Linked DNA regions of Ovis aries. The protein of the gene in region 1 purifies or fractionates together with the protein of each later gene. This does not show direct contact. Links are inferred from orthologs where the notes say so. Each region holds a gene or a part of one and is shown in the gene's direction. Other genes may lie near its edges.

Evidence for each region.
Region 2: the proteins of AP1B1 (region 1) and AP1S1 fractionate together in Homo sapiens (co-fractionation; 6 studies listed by BioGRID and IntAct, with this or other methods). This does not show direct contact. The link is inferred for Ovis aries from reciprocal best matches to the Homo sapiens genes AP1B1 and AP1S1.
Region 3: the proteins of AP1B1 (region 1) and AP1G2 fractionate together in Homo sapiens (co-fractionation; 3 studies listed by BioGRID and IntAct, with this or other methods). This does not show direct contact. The link is inferred for Ovis aries from reciprocal best matches to the Homo sapiens genes AP1B1 and AP1G2.
Region 4: the proteins of AP1B1 (region 1) and EPS15 purify together in Homo sapiens (affinity purification with mass spectrometry; 3 studies listed by BioGRID and IntAct, with this or other methods). This does not show direct contact. The link is inferred for Ovis aries from reciprocal best matches to the Homo sapiens genes AP1B1 and EPS15.

Annotation. Positions count from the first base shown.
Region 1 is NC_056070.1:68,610,691-68,614,190, reverse strand, and holds part of AP1B1 (AP-1 complex subunit beta-1), read left to right. Parts: intron 1-109; coding exon 110-239; intron 240-522; coding exon 523-607; intron 608-1,158; coding exon 1,159-1,245; intron 1,246-1,341; coding exon 1,342-1,496; intron 1,497-2,700; coding exon 2,701-2,775; 3' UTR 2,776-3,500. UniProt on the Homo sapiens protein: Subunit of clathrin-associated adaptor protein complex 1 that plays a role in protein sorting in the late-Golgi/trans-Golgi network (TGN) and/or endosomes.
Region 2 is NC_056077.1:36,006,079-36,010,078, reverse strand, and holds the start of AP1S1 (AP-1 complex subunit sigma-1A), read left to right. Parts: upstream 1-1,200; 5' UTR 1,201-1,236; coding exon 1,237-1,239; intron 1,240-1,368; exon of another isoform or gene 1,369-1,837; intron 1,838-3,313; coding exon 3,314-3,492; intron 3,493-4,000. UniProt on the Homo sapiens protein: Subunit of clathrin-associated adaptor protein complex 1 that plays a role in protein sorting in the late-Golgi/trans-Golgi network (TGN) and/or endosomes.
Region 3 is NC_056060.1:21,191,397-21,195,625, forward strand, and holds the start of AP1G2 (AP-1 complex subunit gamma-like 2), read left to right. Parts: upstream 1-1,429; 5' UTR 1,430-1,507; intron 1,508-1,850; 5' UTR 1,851-1,882; coding exon 1,883-2,086; intron 2,087-2,496; coding exon 2,497-2,621; exon of another isoform or gene 2,622-2,762; coding exon 2,763-2,904; intron 2,905-3,024; coding exon 3,025-3,121; intron 3,122-3,288; coding exon 3,289-3,365; intron 3,366-3,482; coding exon 3,483-3,578; intron 3,579-3,974; coding exon 3,975-4,055; intron 4,056-4,229.
Region 4 is NC_056054.1:25,936,446-25,940,714, reverse strand, and holds the start of EPS15 (epidermal growth factor receptor substrate 15), read left to right. Parts: upstream 1-1,469; 5' UTR 1,470-1,487; coding exon of another isoform or gene 1,488-1,520; 5' UTR 1,521-1,789; coding exon 1,790-1,864; intron 1,865-2,126; exon of another isoform or gene 2,127-2,409; intron 2,410-4,269. UniProt on the Homo sapiens protein: Involved in cell growth regulation. May be involved in the regulation of mitogenic signals and control of cell proliferation. Involved in the internalization of ligand-inducible receptors of the receptor tyrosine kinase (RTK) type, in particular EGFR.

The DNA of each region.
Region 1 (3,500 bases):
TGGAGAGCCTTCTCCCCGGCTGCTGCCAGGCCCCGGGTCCCCAGGAGCCTGCCTGCCCTGTGTCAGCACCTGCTCCCCACCATCCCCGCGGGGGCTTCTCTCTCCCCAGCTTTGGCCTGGCCCCCGCCGCCCCACTCCAGGTCCACGCGCCGCTCAGCCCCACCCAGACCGTGGAGATCTCCCTGCCTCTCAGCACGGCGGGCTCTGTCATGAAGACAGAGCCGCTGAACAGCCTGCAGGTGCGTCCCGGGGAGGACCAGGCACCCCAGTCCTTGCCCACGTGTCGCGGGAGGACTGGGGAAGCCCTCGGGGCCTGGCTGGCTCTGTCACAGGGCTGTGTCTGTGGAGTCTTGTTCTTAGGCACAGAAGGGTGGGGATGGAAGACCGGGGGCCAGCTAGGGGATGGACATAGCTTCTGGGGAAGCGGGAACCTGCTTAGCTGTGCTCACAGGCGCAGAGGCTTCCTGGGGCCTCAGTGGGCATCAGGCAAAAGGGACGACCTGGGGCCCCCCTTGTTTCCAGGTGGCCGTAAAGAACAACATAGACGTCTTCTACTTCAGCACCTTGTACCCGCTTCATATCCTCTTTGTGGAGGACGGGAAGATGGGTGAGTCCTGAGGGCGCCCTGGGGTCCCTGGAGCGGATGCGTGGAGCCTGTGTCATTGGCTCCCCTGGAGAGCCTGGAGAGAGGGTCACACTTTCCCAGGGCCTGAGGGTCTTGCCTGGCCAGCTCTGCTCTCAGCCTGACCTGCCGCCTCTAGATAGTTATCCCACAGGCCCCCGGAGGCAGGGGCCCTAGGTCATGCGTCACACCTGATGCCCACCCCTGGGCCCCAGCAGGAACCTTCGGGAAGGCACGTCCCGTGCCCAGAGGGCGTAGGCCCCCCTCAGCTGTCACCACAGGAGCCCGTGACGTCACTGGGACCGACGAACGGGCTGCTCGGTGCCAGGGCCGGAGGCCGGCTGTGGGCAGGAGCGGGGAGGGCACAAAGGCCCAGAGGCGGGAGCAGCGCAGGCGGCCCCCACGGAACACAGGCTCGGGGTTTGCCGAGGGAAGCAGGAGGGGCCCTGGCGGAGCCGCCCTGGTCTCGGGTGCAGGGCCTAACCGCCCGCTTCCCGACGGGGGTGCTGGGTGGGGTCCCGCCTGTGCCCCTGCAGACCGGCAGGTGTTCCTGGCCACGTGGAAGGACATTCCCAACGAGAACGAGGCCCAGTTCCAGATCAGAGACTGCCCCCTCAACGCAGGTAGGGCTCCCGAGCCCTGTGCCTGTCCATGCTGCCCTGTGCCCTGCCCCCAGCCCTGAGCGCCAGACCCTCCATCTCTGACTTTGTGACCCCCAGAGGCCGTGAGCAGCCGGCTGCAGAGCAGCAGCATCTTCACTGTGGCCAGGAGGAACGTGGAGGGCCAGGACATGCTCTACCAGTCTCTCAAGCTGACCAACGGCATCTGGGTGCTGGCCGAGCTGCGCATCCAGCCCGGCAACCCCAGCTTCACGGTGAGGCGCCCGCTCCCACCTAGAGCCCTGCGGCCTCTGCCTTCCTGCCCGCATGCCGCCCAGGCTGGGGTCGGCCCTGGCAGGGTGGGGTGGGGCATCCAGTCAGGCTGAGCCTGGTGTGAAGAAGCACCAGGACTCTGATCGTAGAAAGCTTCAGCTCAGTCCCATCAAGTGTCCCAGATAAGGCACCAAGTCAGGTCTCCGAACAGTGAAGTGGACTAGAATCGGGCCCTGTGAGGCCCATCTGGTACTGGGAAGGGGCTCCGCTGGACTCAGGGAGCCCTGGCCCCTGGGCTCCCCACTCCCCGAGAAAGGACAAGGCTTCCCAGAGGCTGCGCCGCTGTCCCGGCCCCCGAGAGCCCAGGCTTGGCTTCTCCCCGCACCCGAGCGGACAGGCATGACCGCCCGACGCTGCTCTCCGGCCCCTCGGCGGCATGGGCGCCGCGGCTGGTGGTGGTAATTTCTGTCTCCCTGTGTCTGGTCGCTGCATGTCCACCTCCCTGCCGGTGCCGGCGGTGCAGGACCTGGAGGTTAGCGGACTGCTTTTCTCTTCCTCTTCCCCCATCCTCCCAGGCACGCCTGGCACAACCCACCTCCTGGCCTGGCCTCGCCCCCCTGCTCCCCAAAGCCAGGCAGACGCATGCAGGCTGCAGGCCAGAGGACAGACCGCCCCTGCTGCCACACCCTGTGCTCTCCAGCCTGGCACCACACTCCCCACAGGCCTTGTGCGCAGAGCCCTCGGAGGAGACTGGGGCCCCTCTGAGCAGCAGCGTTGGCAGGAGGGGCGGGCGAGCCTGTCTCTGCTCCTGGGCTTGCCAGCTCTCCTCGCGGGTAGAGCTGAGCCAGATTTGACACAACTGCTTCCTGTGCAAGAAACTAGAAAGATACCCCCCCAGGGCCCCCACAGCTTCCCTCCTGGTCCCCAGAACGTCCTCAGGGACCCCCACTCTCCACGGGCTCTGACTCATGCTGCAGCGGCTCTGGGGGCCGGGACAGCAGGTCTGTGGGCTGCAGTCTGTTTGGTCCCCGCCCGGCTGGCTGCGGGGCCGCCCCCTCGCCGGCACCGCACAGCTGCTCCAGCCGCTGCTGCCGCCCCCCCAGGTCCCACGTGCGCCCCACCCTCTGCCATCTGCTCTCCGCCCCCAGCCTGGAGAGGAGCCCCGGGAATAAGGGGTCCCTGCCTCCCACCCTTGTCCCCCTACAGCTGTCCCTGAAGTGCCGAGCTCCGGAGGTGTCCCAGCACGTGTACCAGGCCTACGAGACCATCCTGAAGAACTGAGGCCGTCCAGCACCCACCCCAGCTTCCTCAGAGCCCCCTGCGAGGTGGCAGCACCTCCCTCGCGAGGGGCCAGCGAGGCTCCTGGCACCCCCCAGCTTCCCAGGCCTTGGGGTGCTCCTGTGCCCAGGACTCTCCTGTTTCCATCGTGCTGACGTTCGGGGTCAGGTGAGGAGGGCACCAGAGGAGCCAGAGTGGCAGCAGGGCTGCACGGAGCGGCCAGGGCTCCTCTCCGGCTCTTCCTGGCACCGGAGGGCGAGCCCGCAGTGCCTCCTTAGGCTCCCAGCCCGGGGTCCCTCTGCCCCGTCTCCCTTGGCTGGTGGCGAGGCCCTGCCAACTGCCCCCTCCTGGGACAGGCCCTGGCAGGCATCCTGGTGTGCGTGGAGAGTCCCCTCGGTGCCAGGAGAGCTGCTCTGTCAGGGCCGGGGCTCCCGGGGCTTGCCCGCCCCCCCCAGGCGCTGAGCCGCTCAGGGAAGACCAGGCAGTAGCTCCCAAGCCCCTTGCTGCTCCAGCCCCCCGGCAGATGTCCATCCCGCCCCCTGCCTGCGAGGACAGTCACTGCCTGTGATACATTCCTGGTGTGCCCGGGGCTTCTGGAGTGAACGGGGCTGAGGGGTGGGGTGCCTGGGCGAGCGGGGTGCTTCCTCTCTGGGGTTCTTAGCTGCCCCCTCCTGGCCTCCCAAGGTCAGTGTGTCTCACGGAGCATTAGGTTTTCCTGTTACTGCTGT
Region 2 (4,000 bases), on another chromosome or scaffold:
CTGATATTGCAATATCAACTGTTGACAATGTTTCAGATACTTTCTATCCAGCCTCAAATCAGACCTGCAAGGTTGGTATTACTATCTTCATTTTTTAAATGAGGAAATGGAGGTTTAAAAGACCCACCCGAGACTGCACATCAGGTAAGGGTCAGAGACCAGATTGCATTGCAGGTGAATTAAGCCCACCCTCTTGCAATTAAAGCATATGACCTCCATAAAAGAGTAAGAAGAAAAGAATACAAAGCAGAGACAGGTAAGGCCTTACCAATAATTGCTTCAAGTGCTACTCAAAAATAATAGCATCATTAGTTACCAACAAATGTCTAGAAATATACCATTAAGCTTTTGGCATGACAAAATTTAAGATTTCCTCTCATCCATTTATATGCAAAGTGCTTTGGCATGTGGACACACACACTCACACTTGCAAATCCCTCTCAAAACACATGTATTGCAATTTACCTCCGTCTCATCTTTACATTCGTGTCTGGGTCACACCGTCCCTTTTTAGCTTTGACCCATGCTAACTTTTCAAGATTTTCTTTATTTCTTCCTCTTTCTTTCCCCTTGATCATGTTTGTCCTCTTCCTTACCTCACTTTTCTATCAGCTTCTCCTCTTCCCTTATTTCTTGTCTGCCTCATTACCTACACCCTTCTCTTACTTTGAGTGTTGTTGCGTCCAGCAGGTTCTCAGTAGATATCTGTTTTGAGCTCCATACTTTTCTCATACCTGCCCCACCACCACCCTTTGTCTTTGCCTTCCTCGTCATTCCTCCTCTACAGATGGCTTCCACCCTGCTCCCTCTCAATCGCCCACACCCCTTCCATTAAATTACCCTACTTCCTCACAAACTCCAGGGGTCATCTCATCCACCTCTCACCCCTTTTCCCGCCTTTTTCCCCCTAGGTTCCAAAGCGCGAAGACCTCATTGTCCTCCTCCCCCATCTTCTAACCAGTCCACAAGACAGCCTTGTTACCATGACGACAGGGCTACTCAAAGCTGAAGTCAAAGACCTGGTTGCCATGGCCACCGCTTCTCCGCCTCCGGCCCCGCCCGCGCGCCTCGCAGCGTCGGCGCCTGCGCAGTACGCAGCGTATTGGTTCCCGGCACCCTGGCGGACGGGGCGGGGCTTCAAGCGAGAGGGAGGGAAGGAGGCGAAAGGGTAAGAAAGGGAGTGGAGCTGGCGCCTACGGTGGCCGAAGAGGGACGCGCAGGGCTGGAGGCTGCAGGATGGTAGGCTCTGCGAAGAGGGAGGGGAGGGGGGACCGAGGGGCGTGGGCTGCACCTGCAGGGGTCCTTGGGGGCTGCCCTCTGTGTGAGCCGCTCTTTTCCCTCCTCCAGTTCTCAGAGGCCCTCACTTACCTGGGCGGGTGGGCGAGCCGGCCTCGGAAGGAAGAGCAGCTGGAAATCGCTTTCGGGAGAAGCGGCGGGGAGTGGGCGCATTTGTAGGGCCAGAGGGAGGTGACTAGGGGGCGGCGGGACCGTCCGGAGCCAGGGGGAGCGCACGGGTCGCGATCTCAGGGGTCCGGATCACTGCCGCAGGGAACTCGCGCGAGGAACGGGGTCTGGGGCCTGCTGGCTGACGGAGGCGGCAGGGGTCGCCTGTCTCCGAGACCCTCCGTCCACGTGCAGCCCAGAGTGGAGCGGCGGCAGGCGGGGAGGGCGGTGTGTGGGAGGGGATCGTTCGGGGTGCGAGGAATAGACGTCCTGCCTCGGTTTGTCGTCCTGCCCACCTGGAGGCGGGGATGAGGTGGGGGAAGCCAGGTGGGCTCGAGTTTTGCTCTCTGGGACCCAGGCTTTGGCTTCCCGGCTCCGGGGCTCTTGGCTCTCCGCCCCTCTACCCTATCCTCTTTCCGGAACGCAGGCCTTCCGTCTTCCTGCTCCCTGGCCCACCCTCCCATCCTAGGCTCCCTTGCACCACTCTTTTGCCCTCCGGCCACGCTAGCAGCGCTTCCCTTTCCCCGATAGCAGAAAATACAGTTCTCTTGAATTCCGATCTGTAGCCGTCTAGACTAGTAGTGTTCCACACACCCAGGACTCCAGCCCTGGTGGCATACACGGAGAGACGAGCTACAAGGGGAGGGAGATCACTCCAGGATGTGGCCTGGAGCCCCTACCCCCCTGGAAATGGGAAACTGGGGGTGCACGGGGTAGTGAGAGTGAGAGCTCTGCACGTCTCCCCGCTCCACCTCCTTGTGCTTGTTCCAGGAACATTCACTAGGCGAGCCGCCCAGAATGGCTGGGTCCAAACTGAAGAACTGAAAGGGAAATTGATCACCTGATATCTGGGGAGGTGTGGGCATGCTAGGGAGGCACCCTAAAAGGAAGAAAAAAGGAATACCTCTGGCTATATGCCTGGATGGCTGAGTAGAGTGGAGGGTGGTGGAATCTAGGGGGTCCTGGTGTCATGTTATGGACTTCCCTGGTAACTCAGACGGTAAAGTGTCTGTCTACAATGCAGGAAACCTGGGTTCGATCCCTGGGTCAGGAAGATTCCCTGGAGAAGGAAATGGCAACCCACTCCAGTACTCTTGCCTAGAAAATCCCATGGACGGAGGAGCCTGGTGTCCATAGGGTCGCAAAGAGTCAGACACGACTGAGCGACTTCACTTGGTATCATGTGCTAACATAAAGGATACCGCTGGGCATAGGAATGGAGGGCAGTATGTTGGGGACATTGGCTAGGGTGTATGGCTAGGATGGGGCAGAGGGCTGAAGTAGCTTCTTGGGGAAAGAAAATACCTGATTTTAGGATGGTGGTGGATAGAAAGCGGGAAAGAAAGCAAACTTCTCCTTGCCATCAACTTAGGGGCTGCTCGTCACTGTGCTAGCATTTTACCCACCTTTGGAAACCAGGTTTAGGAAACAGTAAGTCAGGACATAATAATAATGACATCCAAGGTGTTATAGTGCTTACTTCGTGCCAGGCGCGATTTCCTATGTCGGTTCCACCTAACAGCTCTGTAAGGTAGGTACTTTTATTATTTCCACCTGACACACAGGGGAACTGAAGCCCAGAGAAATGAAGTAACGCCCAGGGCAAATTTCTCAACTAGTAGAGCCAGGATTCGAACCCACAGGACAGACTCAGAAGCGCTGACACCCCCTCCAAGGAAGGTGCTTGCTAATGGAAATACCCAGTTGACCAGAAGGGCTGATGTTTTGAAGAAAGTAGGGTCTGTGAGGAGAAAAGAGTTGAATGGGAGGAGTTTGGGACTGTGTGGTTTTGGAGGAAACAAGCTCAGAGAATCAAAGCTCTAAACCTCGGCTCTGACTCCTCCTTCCTCTCCCTACCCCCCACCCCCAGATGCGATTCATGCTGCTGTTCAGCCGGCAGGGGAAGCTGCGGCTGCAAAAATGGTACCTGGCCACCTCAGACAAGGAGCGGAAGAAGATGGTTCGGGAGCTTATGCAGGTGGTTCTGGCTCGCAAGCCCAAGATGTGCAGCTTCCTGGAGTGGAGGGACCTCAAAGTTGTCTACAAGAGGTGACTCCTCACCTACTTTCAGACCTGCCTGGATCCTGCCTGATTGGGGTCTGGAATGGGTTCACCTGGCTGGGAAATAGGCAGTCCCTTAGTCTGGCAGAGGTTTCCTGGTGGCTCAGACGGTAAAGAATCTGCCTGCAATGCAGGAGACCTGGGTTCTATCCCTAGGTTGGGGAGATCCGCGGGAGAAGGGAATACTTATCCGCCCCAGTATTCTTTCCTGGAGAATCCCATGGAAAGAGGAGCCTGGCAAGCTACAGTCCAAAGAGTGGCTAACACTAACTAACTAGGTCTGGGAGAGCTGAGAGCTAAGGACATCTGGAAGGCAGTGATGAACTCCAGCCAGCCTTTACTTTCCAAATTCACCTTGAAGAGAGACTTGTTCCTTCTTGGTTTTGCTCAAGCCTGGTACCTACTTCACGCACCTACCTCTGTCCCAAAGGCCCGATCTTACTGATTGCACACATCCATTGCAGCCTCACTGAACAGTTGTAGACCCTGGGCCACT
Region 3 (4,229 bases), on another chromosome or scaffold:
CGAGTGGAAAGGAAGAACGTGGGGAAGGGGTACACTCGATACTGGAGAAGACTGTCGACTGGGCAGGGCACTGGCCGTGCAGCTAGGACTCCCCGACCCAAGGAGCCTGGTGCCCCTCTGAGGCCTGGTGACAGATCTGGAAGGGATGCAGCCTCCATCTCTGACCTCGGAGGAGCCTATCTCACCTCCAAGTACTGAGCTAGGTTCTAACCAAACTCCATCCTTCGCTGAAGGAGATGAGAGAAATGAAAAGTAGAACAGCTCCTGAGCATCTTCTCCCTCTTTCTTTCCCCAACAGCCAGCCCCTCACCCAACCCCCTAGGATGGCATGCCATGTCAAGAGCAATGCGTAAAGGAAAGATAAAGTCCCATGCAGCCAAGCCCACCTGCTGACCTCTCCCACCTTTCTCTCTCCCCCTAAAAGTTTATTTGGTTGGTCTGGACTCACGTGTGGCCTTTGATTAAATTCCTAAGGGACCTGAAGAAGACATTTCTACTGCAGAGGGTTAGGGGCACCTGAGCAAGGACCCCACTCCCCAACTCTGGCAGTAGTGGCGGGGGGAGGCAGTTCTGGAAAATGAACCACACAAGAAAACAGGAACTCACAGGGCAGGAGAAGCTGGTCAGTAGTCTCTAAGTGGGTTAGATCCCTTCCCCCATCATATCAGAATCTTGTGAACTGGAAAAACAACACAAAGGAGGGGATCAATCTCACACACTTTCCAGGGAGAGCAGAGAGGTGAGAGTCAAACCGGGGTGAGAGGTGGGTAGAGAGCCCTGTTGGAGGTTGTGGCTGATCCCTGGTACTAGCGTTTCCCCTGGGGACAGGAAGCCCTAGGAAGAGGGGGCTTGAGGGTCCCCAGGGGATCTTTCCTCCCTCCCCTGCATGAGGCAGAGGCAAGCTGCCTGCCAACCCCCTCCCTCAAGGAATGGCCTTGCCTGGGAATGCCCACCACACACAAACTCTTCTTTTTTTTCTAGTCAAACTCTGTTTACTCCCTGGCCTGCCTCCCTCCCTCTTCCTCTCTCAAACTTTACTTCTGATTTCTATTTCATGGAATTTGGGATTGACGTTAAAACAACAGTGCCGCCAACACCAAGTCTTGCAGGAAAAAAAAAATACAAAGAAATTTAACCAAAAAAAAAATATATTAATAAAAAAGTTCAAAAAAAGGGGGGGGAATTGTCCTCTCCTTTGGGTGCGATGGATTCAAACCCAAACTCTCAGAAGCTCTCCAGTGAACGAGCCCTCTTGCGAAGTCCCAGGCCTGTTAGACAGTCTCGCCGCCCCGAAGTAGTTAAAAAGATCCTTCCCTTATACTCCAAATCAGAAAGGCCTAAGGTCAGAGGATTCAAGATTGCTCTGCAGTCTGCAGGGCGGCCCAGGAGGGGCGGGGTCCCGCGATAGGGGCGGGGAGAGAGAAGGATCAGACCAAGCCCCAACCTTCCTCGGGGCTAGGACCAGGAAGCGCTGGGGGGAGAGGAGCGGAGTTGAGACTGAAGCCAGGTGAGGCTGGCGTCCTGGTGTGGGGAAGCTGACACCGCCTGAGAAGGGGACGGGGGTCTCTGCGAAAGAAGCAGCGCCGGGCTCTAGAAGGAAGGGAATAACTGAGCTAGGGATGGGAAGCCAGGTGGAGACCCGCCGTTGGGGGGGAAATAGGCGGGGTTCCAGCGCAGGCTCGGTAGCGACGGGTGCGGGGTGGGGCGAGGACGCATGCGTAATGGAGGTCTCGGGCGGCATTTGGGGACAGGGATCAGTTTTAGCGTGTCTTGGGACCCGGGCCCTCGGGAATTTGGTTAATTGCAAGCCTGTGCAGAAAAGGCCGGATGCTTACTGCCAGAGGGTTAAGGCCCTCTCCGTTTCCGGGCTCTGCCCGCCAGGATGGTGGCGTCCTCGCTGAAGCTTCAGGATCTAATCCAGGAGATTCGTGAGGCCAAGACCCAGGCCCAGGAGCGGGAGGTGATCCAGAAAGAGTGCGCCCACATCCGGGCCTCCTTCCGCGATGGGGACCCTCTGCACAGCCACCGCCAGCTGGCCAAACTGCTCTACGTCCACATGTTAGGCTACCCCGCCCACTTTGGACAGGTACTGGGCGTGGACGCCTCCCGTCCGAGTTTGATGAGAGAAGCTAGTGGGGCACGGTAGCGAACACCACCCCCTCACTTACTTGTTTCTCGATTTCTTTATTCTGCGGAGTTTCTGGGCCCTCACAGGGTGTACCGCAGATCTCCTTGCCCTTTACCACCCCAACTGGTCATCAGATGGACCGAACCCCTCATTCTCTGGCCAGCGCCATTCAAGGCCCTTCCTTTCTCCTCCCATTCTTCCGTTTCCTTGAAACTAACTGAATCTCCTAAACCTCTGTTCATGTTGAACGGGGCGGTCCTGGGGTATGCTGCCCCCACAGGTTAATCTGGTGTAAAGGAGAACCAAAAGCCACGCTAGTGCCTCCGGTTTCACCCCTACCCCTTCCTGGTCTGCCCCCTTCCCTGTAGATGGAGTGCCTGAAACTGATCGCCTCCCCCAGGTTCACAGACAAGAGGGTGGGCTACCTGGGGGCCATGCTTCTACTGGATGAGAGGCAGGATGCCCACCTGCTCATTACCAACAGCATCAAGAAGTGAGAGGGTTCTGGGAAGCACTTGGAATCAGGGAGATGGGAGAGTGGGGAACTGGGAAATCCCAGGGGGTTGCCTGCTGTAGGTACTGAAGGACTGGACTTCTCAGAGGCTTGACTGACTGTCCTCCCCAAACTCTGCAGTGACCTGAGCCAGGGAATTGAGGCTGTCCAAGGCCTAGCCTTGTGCACACTGAGTGCCATGGGCTCTGCTGAGATGTGCCGGGACTTGGCCCCAGAGGTGGAGAAGCTGCTCCTGCAGCCCAGCCCCTATGTGCGCAAGAAGGTGAGACAGCAGGTTCTAGGCTCTTGCTCCTGCACAAACTGTCCTGTCTGCCACATGATAGAGGTGGGGGATTCCATCCTGGCAGACCCTCGCCCTCTCTGAGCCCTGTGACCTCTGCAGGCTGTTCTGACTGCAGTACACATGATCCGGAAGGTCCCTGAACTCTCTGACATCTTCCTCCCACCCTGTGCCCAGCTGCTTCATGAACGCCACCATGGTAAGGCCACGGGGCTCCTCGTCCACTGCCTCAGCTCTGGCTGTGGGAAAGGGAGCCCAAGGACAGGAACAGTAGCTCCCAGGTGAAGGGCAGCACGTGCATGCAAACACGCACACAGTAGACTCCCCTGTGCCCTGTCCACCATTGGCTCCCTCACCCTGACCCAGGCATCCTGCTGGGCACTGTCACGCTGATCACCGAGCTCTGCGAACGAAGCCCTGCAGCCCTCCAGCACTTTCGAAAGGTGGGCTGGTGAAGGGGTGGGCCCCGGGCCAGGAGGAGAAGGGCAGTGGGGTTGGAGGGAGCTGAAGGGAGAGAGGATTAGGAAGAATGCCCAGGTCAGGCTCTGCCCTCCCTCCAGGTGGTACCCCAGCTGGTGCACACCCTCCGGACTCTGGTGATGACAGGATGCTCCACAGAACACAGCGTGTCTGGAGTCAGCGACCCATTCCTGCAGGTGGGCTGATCCTTCCCTGCTGTATCCCTGGAACAAAAAGCTTAGGCATCCCATGGCCAGGGGTCCCCTCCCAGACAATACTTTGGTTCATCAGTAACTTGGGCAGGAGGGTGGCAGGCACCAGGTCATCCCAGGTCCAGTGTGGGGATGGGGAGTGCCTGAAAAGTAGAAAATCCAACTTGGTAACATTTTTTTTTTTTTTTTTCAAAAGACTGTCCCCAGATCTCCTGGCCTCACTCACCTCTGAACCCTCCCAGGGCCCAAGGGGACAGAGGAGGCTGGGAGGGGGGACTGCAAGGAGGCTATTGGGAGCCAGCCAGACCCCTCACAGTGCTCTCAACGTTGGATTTCTCTCCTCAACCCCTTTCCCCCAACTTTTATTTAACCCAATTTCAGGTCCAGATACTTCGTCTGCTTCGGATTCTGGGCCGGAACCACGAGGAGAGCAGTGAGACCATGAATGACTTGCTGGCCCAGGTGGGGGTGGGGGCCTGGGTTATGGGTGTTGCTCTGTGATCCCACTGGCCTGGGCGTCCCTCCCATGACCACTCCCCCTGCAGTGGCCAAATGATCACGTCTCCATTTCTTTCTGGACTGTGATCTCTCCTGAGGTCAGGGACACAGTCTGTTACAGTGCAGTAGTCCCTGGCA
Region 4 (4,269 bases), on another chromosome or scaffold:
ACTCTTTGTGACCCCATGGACTGCAGCACACCAGGTTTCTCTGTCCATCACCAACTCTTGGAGCTGGCTCAAACTCATGTCTATTAAGTTGGTGAGGCCATCCAACCATCTCATCTAGAGGGCAGACAGATGTAAAGAGTCATTAGGGTGATGATGACATCATAAGATAGAGAAGAAATGTTCAGATAAGTATGTAAATCTGACTTGGGGAGGTCAGGAGATACTTTGAAAGGAGGTGGTACTTCGGTGGTGTCTTGAGAGAGAGTAGGAGGAGTTTGCCAGGGGGACTAAGAAGGGAGTTAGGAGTGCTGCAGCCCCTGAGGAGGCCCCAGTGTTCTTTCACTGAACTGGGGTCTAAGTGTGGCAGGCAGCCAGAGAGCCTGGAGAGTATTTATTTCCCTTCCTACCTAGATTTTGACTTAAGATAGTCTTCTCTTTTGATATCACCCCCTAATGTTGTTGTTTAGTAGCTCAGTCACGTCTAACTCTGCGACCTCATGGACTGCAGCATGCCAGGCTTCCCTATCCATCACCATCTCTTGGAGTTTGCTCAGACTCATGTCCATTGAGTCAGTGATGCCATTCAACCAAATCTTCTCTGTCCTCCCCTTCTCCTCTTGCCTTCAATCTTTCCCAGCATCAGGGTCTTTTCTAATGAGTGGGTTCTTTATATCAGGGGGCCAAAGTATTGGAGTTTAGCTTCAGCATCTGTCCTTCCAATAAATATTCAGGGTTGATTTCCTTTAGGATTGACTGGTTTGATCTCCTTGGGATCCAAGGGACTCTCAAGAGTCTTCTCCAACACCACAGTTTGAAAGTATCAATTCTTCAGGTGCTCACCCTAATAGCAGATGGTTAAATGAAAAGTTTTGGAGTCATACTTGGATTCTAACTCACCAGCTATCTGATCAGTTGTAGGCCCTTACATATGACACTTATTTGTGTTTCAGTTTCATTTGTACAACTTATTTATGTCTCAGTTCCGTCATTTACACAATTTAAAAATAAAAGCATCCAACATAGATTCTGGCATATAAAGAGTACCGTTATTATTTCCTATCATTATCTCATTTAATCCTCGCAAGCAACTTGGACTCTGGATATAGTTCTTCCCATTTTTCAGAAGCATAGGCTTAGCATGGGTAGGTGATCCGTTAAAGTTTTCAGGACAACCTGGAGTTGCCTCTGCTCCACAGCCCGTCCGCCTTAATTACTTGTCCGCGCCGGGTTTTCTCAGGCGGCCCCGGGGCAGGCTCCGGTCCAGCAGCAAAAACTCCGGCGCCAGGATTTGGGTGTCTCCGAGGCCTGTGCCGGGCGGGCGGGGCCAGGCGAGGCGGGGTGGACGAGAGGAGGGAAGTTGTCGAAGTTAGGGGAGACGCCCGCCAGCCGGCCCGGGCCTCGCCTCCGGCCGCTCCCTCCGCCTCCTCCCCGCCCCGAGCCCCTGTCCGCCCGTCCTTCCTTCCCCTCCCGTGCATGATGGAAACACCATGGCTGCGGCGGCCCAGCTCTCCCTGACACAGGTAACGCCGCCCGCCGGTCCGCCGGGCTCGGCCGGCCGGTGTCCCCGGCCCCCTCCCCCACCGCCCTACGGTTCACCGACCCGAGCAGTTTCTCTCCGCCCCGGGCGGGGCGGCCGATACTGAGAGCGCGCGCGCGCGCCTGTGAATGTGAGTGTGAGTGTGACTGCGGGAGGACGCCATCCTGAGCCGGTACCTCCGCCACTCGCGCCCCGGCCCCGCCCCACGCGGCGCCCCCTCCTCCAGACCCCTCCGTGCCCCTGTCCCGCCGGATGGGAGCCCGACCTTCTCCTGTCCGCCTTCACCCACCCAGGAAGTTTCCTCCTTCCAGGCCAGACGCACCCCAGGTGAGCTCCTGTTGAGCTCGCGCGGTTCAGTCTCACCGCCGGGTCTGCCCTCGCCCCGCGCGAGGCTCACCCTCGGGACAGGCAGCGTCACCTTCCCGAGCCAGGCGCTCAGGGCCCCCTCCCAGCCAGGCTTTTCCCTCGCTAAACCGGCCTTTTCCCACTGGAGTCCGACGAAAGCCCTCCCTTTCCCAGCAGTTTCCTCCAGTCAGCCTGTCTTCCAAATAAGTCTCATCCTCCCCGAGCGCGTTCTTACCCCGCTTACCCTGGCTTCAGCCTCTTCTGCTGATCAGGTTTCCTGCTGGGTGAGATCCCCCGATTCAGCCTTTCCCTCCTCAGTTCTGCTACCACTCCTACCGGGTAGGCTCTCTATCGCTGTCCATGGGGATAGCAGGGAAACATCCTTTCACAGGTGTGATGGTTCCGCCCGTCTTGGTGCTGGGAAGGACCTAAGAGATCACTCGTCCTGGGGGAACCTTCACCAAAACCTGTGTGCTCTGTTCTGCCTTGCCTTTCTGCTTCCTTCAGAGTCAGTCCTCGTGCTTCCCAGAAAACCGCTCAGCATCAATCACTCTGGGAACCTCGTTCCTCCCTTTGCGTTGGGAAAACCAATTACAGTCTTCCGGTGATGTCCTGGATGGAGAGAGGTTGTACGCCTGTCAGTCCCTTGGCGCTTCTCTGACCACATCTCACCCTAACCTCACCTTCTCAGCCCGTTCTCTCCAGAACCGGTGGTCACGGACTTTCCTGTTGGGGCCCACGCCAGCCTGCCTGCCTGCCCTGTAGTATCTCTCTGCCACCTTGTATTGGCCTGGATATCTCAGGGTTTCTGAGGCAAAACATTGGGATAGGTTATACGTTTGGGCCAGAAAGTTTTCTGTTTGAGGAATAAGAGACTTTGGGGGTGTTTTGCCTAGCATTCTAGGATAAACTGAGTGAAAAATGTTTCCCTCAGTAACCAGGAATCACGTATAAACAATGTGCCTTAGGTAAAATAAGTAACTTCAGCTTGTAGGAATTTTCAGCTTCGTAAGTGCGAGGTCTGTTATTTTCCAGTTTATTTAGTCTTGCTTATCCTATTTTGACAAGCAGATAAATGGGGAAAAAGACTTGGAATGTGGTGATTTAGTCTTGGTAGTGAATCTCTTTGGAAGGGTCCTCCTGAAACTCAAACTTGAGGAATGGCAACATTGACTTATGGGTGTTCACTCTCTAATAGTGTGGTTAGTGATATGCATTAAACAAGATCCTGTTGGCAAGCTGTTGCTCGTCCGCTCTGCTGGCCAATTCCAGCGAGAGTTCTCCCCTCCTGAAGATTTTGTTCTTCTGAGAACTAATACAGATTTGCTTCTTAGTTGTGTGTGTACTTTATTTTCTTCCTGGGTAAGGTTATGTTTTTAGTTTCTATTTACTGTCATTCATCTCTGAATATTTTCTTCCGGCTCTGTCAGTTTTATAGACAGTTAAACAATTTAAATGTGTTCTTGTGGTTATATATTTAAATATTAACATGTACACAGAGTAAATACTGAATCAGGAGTATTATCGTTCAGTGTTTCACATATGAGAGAACAAACATCGATGGTTCATTTATATTGAATATCCAGATAAGTCAAGTTAGAACATTTTCATTTTAAGACGTTTTTGTTTAGTCGCTAAGTTGTGTCCGACTGTTGCAACCCCGTGGACTGTTTGTTAGCTGGCCAGACTACTCTGTCCATGGGATTTCCCAGGCAAGAATAATGGAGCGGGTTGCCATTTCCTTCTCTAGAGGATCCTCCCCACCCAGGGATCAAACCTGCATCTCCTGCAGTGACAGGCCGGTTCTTTATCGCTGAGCCACCAGGGAAGCCATTTAAGACATTAGGAAGCAATAAGATATATTGTAAAGGCACTGGAAAGAGAATATTCCCAAGTGTTTAAATACCTAATGTGCCTGCTTGTTATTTTAAAACTTGGCTGATTTGTGTTTTTTAATTGAATTTTTAACTGCTTGAGGCAAATAAGCTGAGATAACAGTGCGACTTGGTTTCACATTCATTATTGATCTGTTTATGTCACCATCACCCCCTCACAACACACTCAGACATAGGCATACTCAAGTGAGATCCTACATGGCAGGGACATCTTTCATCTCTCTCCCTCAGCGCATATCTGGAAGAAAGTTATTAATAATATTTGTCTTGTGAATGACTGAAAATTCTGAAGAACTCTGGGACAGTTACAAAGATTAAACAGATGCTGAAGTTAGTTTCTGCCCCTGGTTATTAAATGATAACAGTTTTGCAGTAGGTTGATTTATTCAGCCAGTATTTGTTAAGTACCTATTATGTGCGCTGCTCTATGCTGGAATTGTCTTGAGTAGAATTTTTGGCCTCTATCAATTGAGCAAAACTGACAGTTGGGAA